Linked DNA regions of Bombyx mori. The protein of the gene in region 1 interacts with the protein of each later gene in a pairwise test. Links are inferred from orthologs where the notes say so. Each region holds a gene or a part of one and is shown in the gene's direction. Other genes may lie near its edges. The genes, in order: ubiquitin-protein ligase E3A, tyrosine aminotransferase and DNA replication licensing factor Mcm6.

What was found.
Region 2: the proteins of ubiquitin-protein ligase E3A (region 1) and tyrosine aminotransferase interact in binary tests that used the Homo sapiens proteins (3 or more experiments, as listed by UniProt). The link is inferred for Bombyx mori from reciprocal best matches to the Homo sapiens genes UBE3A and TAT.
Region 3: the proteins of ubiquitin-protein ligase E3A (region 1) and DNA replication licensing factor Mcm6 interact in binary tests that used the Homo sapiens proteins (3 or more experiments, as listed by UniProt). The link is inferred for Bombyx mori from reciprocal best matches to the Homo sapiens genes UBE3A and MCM6.

The regions. Positions count from the first base shown.
Region 1 is NC_085119.1:5,211,802-5,214,222, reverse strand, and holds the end of ubiquitin-protein ligase E3A, read left to right. Parts: intron 1-1,403; coding exon 1,404-1,742; 3' UTR 1,743-1,881; downstream 1,882-2,421. UniProt on the Homo sapiens protein: E3 ubiquitin-protein ligase which accepts ubiquitin from an E2 ubiquitin-conjugating enzyme in the form of a thioester and transfers it to its substrates.
Region 2 is NC_085110.1:12,108,974-12,113,256, forward strand, and holds the start of tyrosine aminotransferase, read left to right. Parts: upstream 1-1,477; 5' UTR 1,478-2,770; intron 2,771-4,283. Other genes in the region: NADH dehydrogenase (ubiquinone) complex I, assembly factor 6, read right to left, coding at 871-1,108, 1,197-1,330. UniProt on the Homo sapiens protein: Transaminase involved in tyrosine breakdown. Converts tyrosine to p-hydroxyphenylpyruvate. Can catalyze the reverse reaction, using glutamic acid, with 2-oxoglutarate as cosubstrate (in vitro).
Region 3 is NC_085132.1:5,464,705-5,469,085, reverse strand, and holds the start of DNA replication licensing factor Mcm6, read left to right. Parts: upstream 1-1,559; 5' UTR 1,560-1,701; intron 1,702-2,700; exon of another isoform or gene 2,701-2,934; intron 2,935-3,038; 5' UTR 3,039-3,048; coding exon 3,049-3,140; intron 3,141-3,313; coding exon 3,314-3,737; intron 3,738-3,859; coding exon 3,860-4,051; intron 4,052-4,180; coding exon 4,181-4,353; intron 4,354-4,381. Other genes in the region: uncharacterized protein LOC101741249, read right to left, coding at 335-446, 528-625. UniProt on the Homo sapiens protein: Acts as a component of the MCM2-7 complex (MCM complex) which is the replicative helicase essential for 'once per cell cycle' DNA replication initiation and elongation in eukaryotic cells.

The DNA.
Region 1 (2,421 bases):
AATATAAGTAAAGAAATAAATAAAAATAATAAATAATTAGTTAATAACAATAGTTATTTAGTATTTTTAAGTATTTTTCTATATAAAATTTTATCCCTAAAAATATCCCCAAAAAATTTCACCCCCTAAAAAAATCCCTGTATAGATTTTTCCCCCCTAAATTTGGGGGGAAAACCCCGGAGTTGGCATCACTGATTCGATGTTTCTGTTTCATTTTAAAACTTCATTTTATTGTACTTGAATTCTGTGCTAAAAGCTTTTTAAACATCATTAGCCCCACCTCTTGTCCGTTGACGGTACTAAATATACTACAAATTAATAGTCAACAGCTTTTGTTGCAAGTTTAAATTCATTGATAAACGAACACTCTTAGCACATATTAGATCTTACTTGTGGTATGTCGTATTATAGTCTCGCATCAGTAGGCTCAGTTCAAAGCCGCGAACCAGCGATTCGTATCTTTTGAAGGGTGAAACAGCTGTTATATTTACTTATTTAATTTAGAACACGATAGGTCTCAAAGTAAGCGACGGTGTTCACATTGTCACGATGTCTATGGACTCCGGTAGCCACTTAGCGCTCGTAGTTCGTTATACTCTGGGTGCTAGGAGACTGCTTCCGAAAACGAAGACAGACGATAGTACTATTGACACCTTTGGTAATGGGACGAAAATAAAATAGATCATGATTTAAAAAAATCATATTTTTTTGCAATTGCAATGTTTGAAGTGAAACTTTAGAAGAATCGTTGTGATTTCAAACTCAATGAAACGAAAAAATAAGTCCATAGAGACACAAACACATAAATGTATAGGATTCAGCCGGCGAGAGAATGAGATAGAACACATTAGACGTTCTCGGTCTCCTCTTTGTGCGATTCTTCGTAACATCCCCATTATCGTCTACTAAACATTGTCCATATGTATGCACCTGTGTAGTGGGATAGTCACAGTGTGACTTGCACACACTTTTTTATTGTGAACGCCGCCTCTACTTCTTTTATGGCGCCTGCAAATTTTATACGTACAAAGTTGTAAATTTTGCGTCGCGCCGGTGTGCGTGTTAAAGAAACGCCGCGCTCGAGCGTTCGTTGATCCGAGCATCAGCTGTTTTTAATTTTGTGTTTCACTGCTGGTTTTCTTTTCAAATAAAGTAATGTATTTTTTATGAAACTATCGTTTCATTTAGCTGTATTAACATAATGGAGGGTAAATAATGCTGATAAAACGTTTTAAAAATATGTTTTTTTTAAAAATCAGGTTCGACTTTTTTTCTGTCTCATCATCTATGTTAGGTGTCATTAGTACTATCGTTACCTCGATCGATACCTCGTTTTCGGAAGCGGTCTCTTAACACCCAGTGCATATAGCAATACAATAAAAATACCGTATTATATTTTGAAGGTTTTCGATTTCCACGAGCTGGAAAAGTCGACAGAATACGATGGCGGCTACGCGTCCGACTCTAAAATCGTACAGGACTTTTGGGGCATCGTGCACAGCTTGCCGCTGGAGGACAAGCGGAAGCTGCTTCAGTTCACGACCGGGTCGGACCGGGTGCCCGTGGGCGGGCTGTGCAACTTGAACTTTGTGATCGCGAGGAACGGCCCGGACTGCGACCGGCTTCCCACCGCGCACACTTGCTTCAATGTCCTACTGCTACCCGAGTACGACACTAGAGACAAACTACAGGACAGACTCTTGAAAGCCATCAACTACTCGAAGGGATTCGGTTTGCATTGAAGCTATGCTATACGACGACGACGACGCAACGCAACGCGGAACTAACTCAACAAAATTAGCATAATATTATAGTCGAGGAGTCGCCACGATGATGTTTCTGTATCATTGATGATTAAAGTTTGTTTTATTTAAGCGTAAAGTTTTTTTTTAATTACTCTATTTATTATGTCTGGCTGGGCAGCGTTCGGGAAGCTTCGTCAGGTCTTTTCGTCGCCCAAACCACAATGTCTGAAGACAAAGGTCTACAATCAGTGCGTCCTACCCGTGCTTACCTACGGAGCCGAAACGTGGACACTGACTGTGCGACTAGTCCACCAACTAAAAGTTACTCAGCGAGCCCATAGCTCGCGAGCTATGCTTGGTTTATCATTGCGAGACCGAATACGCAATGAGGTCATTCGGGCAAAAACCAAAGTGATCGATATAGCTTGCAGAGTTAGTAAGCTGAAGTGGCAGTGGGCTGGTCACATATGTCGCAGTACCGATAACCGTTGGGGTAGACGTGTTCTGGAGTGGAGACCGCTAACCGGTAAACGTAGTGTAGGACGCCCTCCTGCTAGACGGAGCGACGACCTACGCAAGGCAGCTGGCAGTAACTGGATGCGTAGAACCGAAGATCGGGTTCAGTGGCGAGCTTTGTACTGCCGCAGGTTAATGATGATGATGATGATATTTATTA
Region 2 (4,283 bases), on another chromosome or scaffold:
TTGTCAATGAATTCAGTAAGTTGACAACTCAAACCTATAAACACCTAAGGTGAAAAGACATTCTGCCACATAAGCAGATATGATCTGCTTGAATTAATTATGAACTAACAGAAAAACAAATAAAATGTGATATTTTATATTTTGGTATTAGAAAATCTAAATTTTAGTGTGTATGTTTACAATAATAAAACACTAATCAGAAATGGATGAAGTAAAAGAAAAACCAAAATAAGAAACAGAAAAAGTCCATCCCAATGGCATGGGGGCAATGGATATAAACCAATCAAGGTTGTGGTCAGGGTCATCAAACTTATTTGAAATCCCTATTCCACATGATACAAGGACAAAAACTAAGTTGCTGTACAATCCCAACATCGTTTTTTTGCATTAAAAGTGTACAATTTACAAAAATATTCGAAATTGAGTTAATATGAGGAATCATTTGCTATCACCAGTATTTTTTTAATAAATACTGTCAAAACAGCGTAGTTTAGTTTTAGCCTTTTTTTTTTTAGTTTACCTATGTTTTGACTACTAACAAAATTAATACATAATTTTATCTTACTTTAAAATACAGATAATGTAACTGGTAAAAAATAAAAAATAAATGTTGCAAAGATGATCAATATGAAAAATATCACATGTTAAACCTTTACAACACTCTCCTGTAAAATTAGTAAGTTTTGAGATTATAGTTTTTATGCGAGAAGATGATATTATGGTATAAGGGCAAGAAGGTGATGAATTAAATATATGATGAAGAGTTATATATGTACAATAATATAATACTATTAATGAGACACAAATTGTCACAAATTATAGCACATCTTATAGCTATAGCTATGTTTTATGTAGTATAGTTTAGGTTACCTTAAACAGCTCTTGTGCTATGGGGTTTGCTGGAATATTTTTTAAAGTTTGATCATTTTTATAGAGTAGTTTAAGTGTATCATTCCAGAACTGCAATCTGAAAGCTGCTGTCTGAGAATCGGTGGTTTGATCTTGTATACGAGCTACTTCTACATTGAAGGCTCTGACTACAAGCGTCGGAGATCTTACAGCCTTTGTCAGGAGCAGTGTGGCCAAAAAATTTTCATAATCGTGCTGCCTATCTGTAACATAAATATACAAGTACCAGAACTTGCTTCACAATTCAAATTTTATTTTTATTTTCGTCTGTATAAATATTATTTTACCTTACTAAATTTGCACAGTAATTTAGTGAGTCCTGGTTAGACTCTGCTATTTTTGAGAGAAATCTAGTAGTAAATGCTGGCATTTTAAGTATTTTGTATGTCTTAAAATTAATTATATTACTACCCAAACCCATTTTGGTTTGAATTATTGACACCAGAAACCAAAGAGTATGTCCAGACCTTCATTGGTCCAGACACTACCATCCACCATAGACATACATAGCATATTAAGTGTAATGTGTATAATCTATGTACATACTACATCATAGCTTCCCGTCAAAGGACTTTTTGGCGGAAACGCGAGGAGTGAAGTTGTGTGATTTGTTTTATTTTGTCTATTTAGTGTTTCTTCAGGTTTAAATGTGTAATAATGGTGGTTTATTAACTGTTTAATATCTATGAAAGTGCACAAATGTGGGAAAATGAAACAAAGCTGCTGGACGTAACTTCTCGGGTTCCTCCAAAAAGTCCACTGAAAAAATCTCAGTAAATGATCACCATTTTACTGAGATTATATTTCATCCCATTTCATTTCATTTAATTTCATCCCAGTTGATTAATGTCTCAAATTAATCATCTTCATTTCATTTCACTCCATATTATCATTTTTCATAAAAATATGAATATAAATTAAAATAAGACATGACTTAAAGGTCTCAGTTACCAGGTCATAAAACCACTTAAAAAAAAAGCTTCCCGTCAAATACTAAGTGTATTATCTATGGCTTCGCGAGATAGCATAGACCATGGAGTTAATGGACTTTTTGGCGGGAACGCGAGAAGTGAAGTTGTGTGATTTGTATTATTTTGTCTATTTAGTGTTTCTTCAAGTTTAAATGCTGTAATAACGATGGTTTATGAACTGTTTAATATCTGTAAAAGTGCACAAATTTGGGAAAATGAAACGCAGCCGCTGCACGTAACTTCTTGGGATCCTCCAAAAAGTCCACTGAAAAAATCTCAGTAAATGACCACAATTTTACTAAGATTAAATTTCATCCCATATCATCTCATCTCATTCAATTTAATTTCATTCCAGTTGATTAATGTCTCAAATGAATCATCTTCATTTCATTTCATTTCATTTCACTCCTTAATATAATTTTTCACAAAATAAGAATTTTAATAATAATAAGACATGACTTAAAGATCTTAGTTACCAGGACATAAAATCCCTTAAAAAAACCATGGGGTTAATAAGTAAAACTAAAAAAAAAATACACTAACTTAGCAACACTGCTTTTTGTTTGTAATATGTGCGTTTTTCCTTACATCTATTGATGTTTAAAAATAAATTTTAAATTACAGACGTCGTTTGGTGGGTAGAGCCCTAAAACATCCTTGGACCCGCCGCAGTCTGTTCACAACATCTGCAGGCCGTCAAGTCCAACATACCGATTCTAAACAGTTAGAAAGCCGCCCTTATTTATACATTGAAACCTGAAAAAACACTAAAGTAACAAAACAAATCAATTTAAACAACTTCACTCCTCGCGTTCCCGCCAAAAAGACTGATTAGAGGTGATCGGTTCATCGTTACTATGCTTAGCAAACGGACATTAGCTTCTTCTGAGGTAAGAAGAGGAAGAAAGAAGCTTAAATAAAAACTGGAAGAAGGCTGAATCGGCCCGAATAAATCCGCACTTGTTTGCCAGAGATCTCTTTCTTGCCACATGCCACAGAATATCAAAATGGCTGAACACGATGGTGTTACGTCTCAAAAAAACTATTTTCTTACCTAATCTCTTACTACTCTTATCCCATTCTCACGGATCGTTTGGAACCTTTGGGTCTGCGGAGGGACTTCGGTTCCCTCTGTATTTTGTACCGTATGTTCTATGGGGAGTGCTCTGAGGAATTGTTCGAGATGATACCGGCATCTCGTTTTTACCATCGCACCGCCCGCCACCGGAGTAGAGTTCATCCATACTAGCTGGAGCCACTGCGGTCATCCACCGTGCGTTTCCAGAGATCTTTTTTGCCACGTACCATCCGGCTATGGAATGAGCTCCCCTCCACGGTGTTTCCGGAGCGCTATGACATGTCCTTCTTCAAACGAGGCTTGTGGAGAGTATTAAGCGGTAGGCAGCGGCTTGGCTCTGCCCCTGGCATTGCTGAAGTCCATGGGCGACGGTAACTACTCACCATCAGGTGGGCTGTATGCTCGTCTGCCTACAAGGGCAATAAAAAAAAAACCTATGCCTAATAAGAAAATTATTAAATCACTCGATGAAGCTGCGGGCAGAAAGCTAATACATGTTAAAGCAAGAATGTTGTGAATTAAGAATGTTGTACACGTCGAACTCATATGGTGTGATATACCTAAAGAACGTACATAAATTTATTTATATCTGCCGTGAAGCAGTAATGCGTTTCGGTTTGGATGGCGGGGCAGCCGTTGTACTGTTAAAAGCGAGACCTTAGAACTCATGTCTCAAGTTGGGTGGCGGCATTTACGTTGTAGATGTCTATGGTCTTCTGTAACCACTTAGCATGAGGTGGGCCGTGCGCTCATATACCAATCTAAGTAATAAATAAATAAATAACTATCTACTTAACGGTAGGCAGTGGCTTGGTTCTGCCCCAGGCATTGCTGAAGTCCATGGGCGACGATAATCACTCACCAACAGATGGGCCGTATGATCGTCTGCCTACAAGGACAATTTTTTTTTTATCGGGAATGTTTTGAAAAATTATAGGCATTGTCGTACTAACATAGAATACGCTAATTAATTTATCAGTGATTATTTTTTTAGAGACAGTAGAATTATTAGACAGACGTTTCAAGCGGTATTCGAAGTTTGTCTTTAGAAAATTTTAGCTTGAATATCTAATCCAAGATTTTAAAGTACAACACCTTTATCTGAAATTTAGGAGGCAGTGATTTTTTTGGAACCTCCAATGTAAATTACATATTCCACATGGAAAATTCCACATATAAATTGAAGGCCACCGCTGCACCGCTTCAACCCGTAAATTATGCTCGGTATTCCTTACAAGTCGTATTATTGTATTGTTTAAATGTATATAATATACTTGTTTGAGGTAAATTTGTATTATTTCTTAATGTAAAGATTCGATAACCTA
Region 3 (4,381 bases), on another chromosome or scaffold:
TTAGTTTACACATGTGCTGTGAAGCAGTAATGCGTTTCGGTTTGAAGGGTGGGTCAGCTGTTGTAACTATACTGAGACCTTAAAACTTATATCTGAAGGTGGATAGTGCATTTACGTTGTAGATGTCTACGGGCTCCAGTATCCACTTAACACCAGGTGGGCTGTGAGCTCGTCCACCCATCTAAGCAATAAAAAAAAATGTTTTCTTGTCTTTTCTTCATATCTATTTTTGGGAATTACAAACAAACACAAAGACAAAAAAGGTAGTCATAGTGGTCATTGGCATGGAAAAAACTACTTTGTTAAATGTACTGCAAATTATTGAAATATCTACTTTGATATTAGTTCCTTTTTTCCATTCTAGGCAGCAGTGCGGGCATCTTGCAGCTGTTGAGAAATGTTTATCTGGTAGTCCATAACCTTTAGTTACTTCTTTACATTTCATTCTGAAATAGATAGTTTTTTTTTTTTAATATCCAGATAACTCGATACAATATATAAATGTGACAAACATTTTTGTTACATACAAATAATAACTTTTCAACACATTTTGAAGATTGTTGGATATATTTGATGGTAAGGAAGACGCTATTTTATATAGAAAGGCTATTTTTGTTTCTGTCATTTTCAATGATTAGTGCACTTAAAAACAACTTTATTGGGAAGTTGTCTTACTAATTACTACATATTATGAAACTTCATAACTTTCTCAAACGCTAATCAGTGGAGCGATTTTTTTTAATGGATTTTATGACCTGGTAAAAAAGACCTTTAAGTCATGTCTTATTTTAATTTATATTCTTATTTCTATGAAAAATGATAAAATGGAGTGAAATGAAATGAAGATGATTAATTTGAGACATTAATCAACTGGGATGAAATTAAATGAAATGAGATGATATGGAATGAAATATAATCGCAGTAAAATGGTGGTCATTTACTGAGATTTCTCAGTGGACTTTTTGGAGGGTATTGTCCATGGTTATAACCACTCTCACTCGTTTCCGCCAAACTTTTATAATCTAGATGTTTCAAATATTCATAAAGGTAGCTTTCCAATTACAGCGCATAATGCGACTCAATAGCACACAATGCTGAATTATGCTGAATCTTAATTGGAACGTAAAATAGTTTTCAAATGCATCAGCAGAGTGCGATAAGTTCAATGTTGAAAAAAAATATTCATGGAGTTGGCAACCTCATTAATATATAAATAATGTAGTAAACAATAATAATTGGTTGAAAACTATTTACGGTTATTTTAAGTAATTTGGATTTTTATTATTTCATTAACATTTTTTTACATTTTGAGTATTTTTTTTAAATGAGTTCTATGAAAATTATATACTTTTTAAGTGAATCATCCATACTTATATTTTTTTTAGCACAGTTTCAATTAACTTTGATTATTTCCAAGAAACTACGACGAAACGAAAGCCTTACAAAATTTTTCAACAATAAATAATATTACTAACGATAATATAAACAAAATTTCGATCAATTCCAACTTAAAGAAAAAACACTTGTCAATTTTCTGTCACTGAGTCGGTATCGATTGCGAGTATCACGCGAGAGCAGTACTTTTGAGAGTGCTCGATTGTGCGAAGCGTTGCTGTAGTAGGAACATTCGACGTTGAGCATTATGCCGCATAATGCGCTCTAGTGCTGTAATTGGAAAACAGGGAAAATAAACAACTTTAGGTTCGTTACATAATTCTAACGGATTCGTTAAATAATTCTTTCCGCTTTCAGTTTTCACTGACAGATCAAGTGCTACATTATAATTTTTAACATGCATTTCATATTTTATTGAAGCATGTACATATCTTACTTATTAGTTTTTACGACTGAATAAGAGTTTTGGGGTTTTACCTGTCCAACTGGATCGGCAAGTTTTGATAAAATCTACAGAACAGTAGGGTGAGCACGAACAGCTCTCGAAAAACTAATCGTATAGTTATTGAAAAAAATGCCAAGGAGTCAAACAGTGCCCCAAGCGTATCTATAAGTGTTGGAGTTTGAATATATAAGATTATCTCCATGTATGTAAGCGATGGTAGGCAACACTTGACACATGTAAGGTCACAGATTTCAAATATTGGAATGCTTATTTAAATGTTTAAAACAAATAATTTGTCTTCTCGTCAGTGAAGACAATGACTTCTCATCTAGACACGGACAGAGTAACATCTTAGAGTTGTATCAAAATAAAATATTATAATGGTGTAATAGTGTACAAAGTATTTGCAATATAATTAAATTAACCATGAAGCAGAGTGTTTTTAAATAGCCTCTCTCCTCCAGAACCTAGTCCCCTTAAATTTAACCGTCCAACAATAAAAACTAATTGTGCTAGTCCGAAAGATTTTAGACACTTCATATGGTCATGTTATTTAATAATGAAACTTATGCACATAATCGAGAGTACCGTACCAGCTTTATTTTGACGTAAGGAAAATTCTTCCGATATTTAAAATTGCATTTGGAACATTCTTGTCTTGAACTACTTACTTAATTATGTAAGCATTTCTTCATATTTAGTGTATTATTATTGTTCCACCGCAGTCACTGTTTTTCTTTTCAATGTAAATACTTTATAATATCTGACAAAGAGAAGAAAATAATGTAGTGTAGTACTGCTTTGTCTTTGCCTATTCTTTATGAATAGATAAATTTTTATTGTTTTTGAAGGGACAATTTTACAACGTTTTCCCGCCCTCGGGACCCTCTTGTCAGTCTGACGTTCAATCTGTCATAGTTCAAATTGGTACGCTTGTACACATGTTTGAATTTTTATCGGTTCTCGTTTTCAAAATATTTTCTTTTTAAAGTTTTATTAAACAAAATCAACTAATAATATTGAAGTAATTGAGCTCTGTCCATAGAAACGATTAGCCCATCTAAGTGAGAATCATTACAGAACACGTGTAACCGGTTACTTGTTTATTGTCATTGTTTTAAAGTTGCAGATTGCAGAATCGTTTAACAAACTTTGCAAATTAACTCACCCTTAAGCTCTGGTGTTACATATTATTCAGGTCGTGAACCATGGATGTAGCTGACACATATGCCACACAGAGTCAAGTAAAAGATGAAGTGGGAATTCGATGCCAAAAGCTTTTTCAAGACTTCTTAGAAGAGTATGTTTGATTTTAAAAATCAAGTTTGTTATAATACTAAGTTATTTGTTTTTTTATTTACCATATTATGAATAAATGCTTTTCTTCCATATTTTCATTAGTTGGCAAACAGACTTCTTGATATAAATTTAAAACCGCTTCAGCAAATAATTAACAAAAAAAAATATTTACAGATTTAAGGAAGATAACGAAATCAAATATGAGAAACATGCTAAGGAACTATTGAAACCAGAGCTCAGTACCCTTGAAGTTAGTTTTGATGATGTTGAAAAGTACAACCAGAATCTTGCTACCACAATAATTGAAGAGTATTATAGGATATATCCATTTCTAAACAGAGCCATTTTGAATTACATACTCAGTCTTGCGGAAACTGGAATGAAAAAAGATCTACAAGATAAAGAATGCTATGTTTCATTTGTTGATGTACCAACAAGACACAAAGTAAGGGAGTTAACCACAGCAAAGATTGGTACTCTCATAAGGATCTCTGGGCAGATTGTAAGGACACATCCAGTTCACCCTGAATTAGTTCAGGGCACATTTGTGTGCTTAGATTGTCAAACAGTTATTAAAAATGTAGAGCAACAGTTTAAGGTAAGATTTTTTAATTAATTGATTTTATTAATTCTTTAGAGAAATACAGTAACTTAATAAAATTAAATGGAATTAATTAAAATAAATAATAAATTAATTAACAAATATTATTTTATCCTCAGTACACAATTCCAACAATCTGCCGTAATCCTGTATGTGCTAATAGAAGGCGTTTTATGCTGGACGCAGACAAGAGCGTTTTTGTTGACTTCCAAAAGATACGAATCCAGGAAACCCAAGCTGAATTGCCCCGTGGTTGCATACCCAGATCTCTTGAAGTGATATTGAGGGCTGAAGCTGTTGAATCTGTGCAGGTGAATTTAAAAGAAACATGATATGGACAAGACCTGAACTTCCCAATTTCTCGATATTTGTAAAGCCAAAAATATCAAACTAAGATTAATCAATCTAAATTGAAACTAAAAGTATAATTTGTTTTTTAGGCTGGTGACCGTTATGATTTTACAGGAACACTGATTGTAGTGCCTGATGTGGGAGCCTTGTCAATGCCAGGCTCCAGGGCTGAGATTACAACCAGGACTAAATTAGCAAATGAAGGTCAAATGGAAGGCATAAAGGGACTCAAGGCTCTTGGAGTGCGAGAACTGCATTATAAGTGAGGATCTGTTTGCTTCTTTTTATGT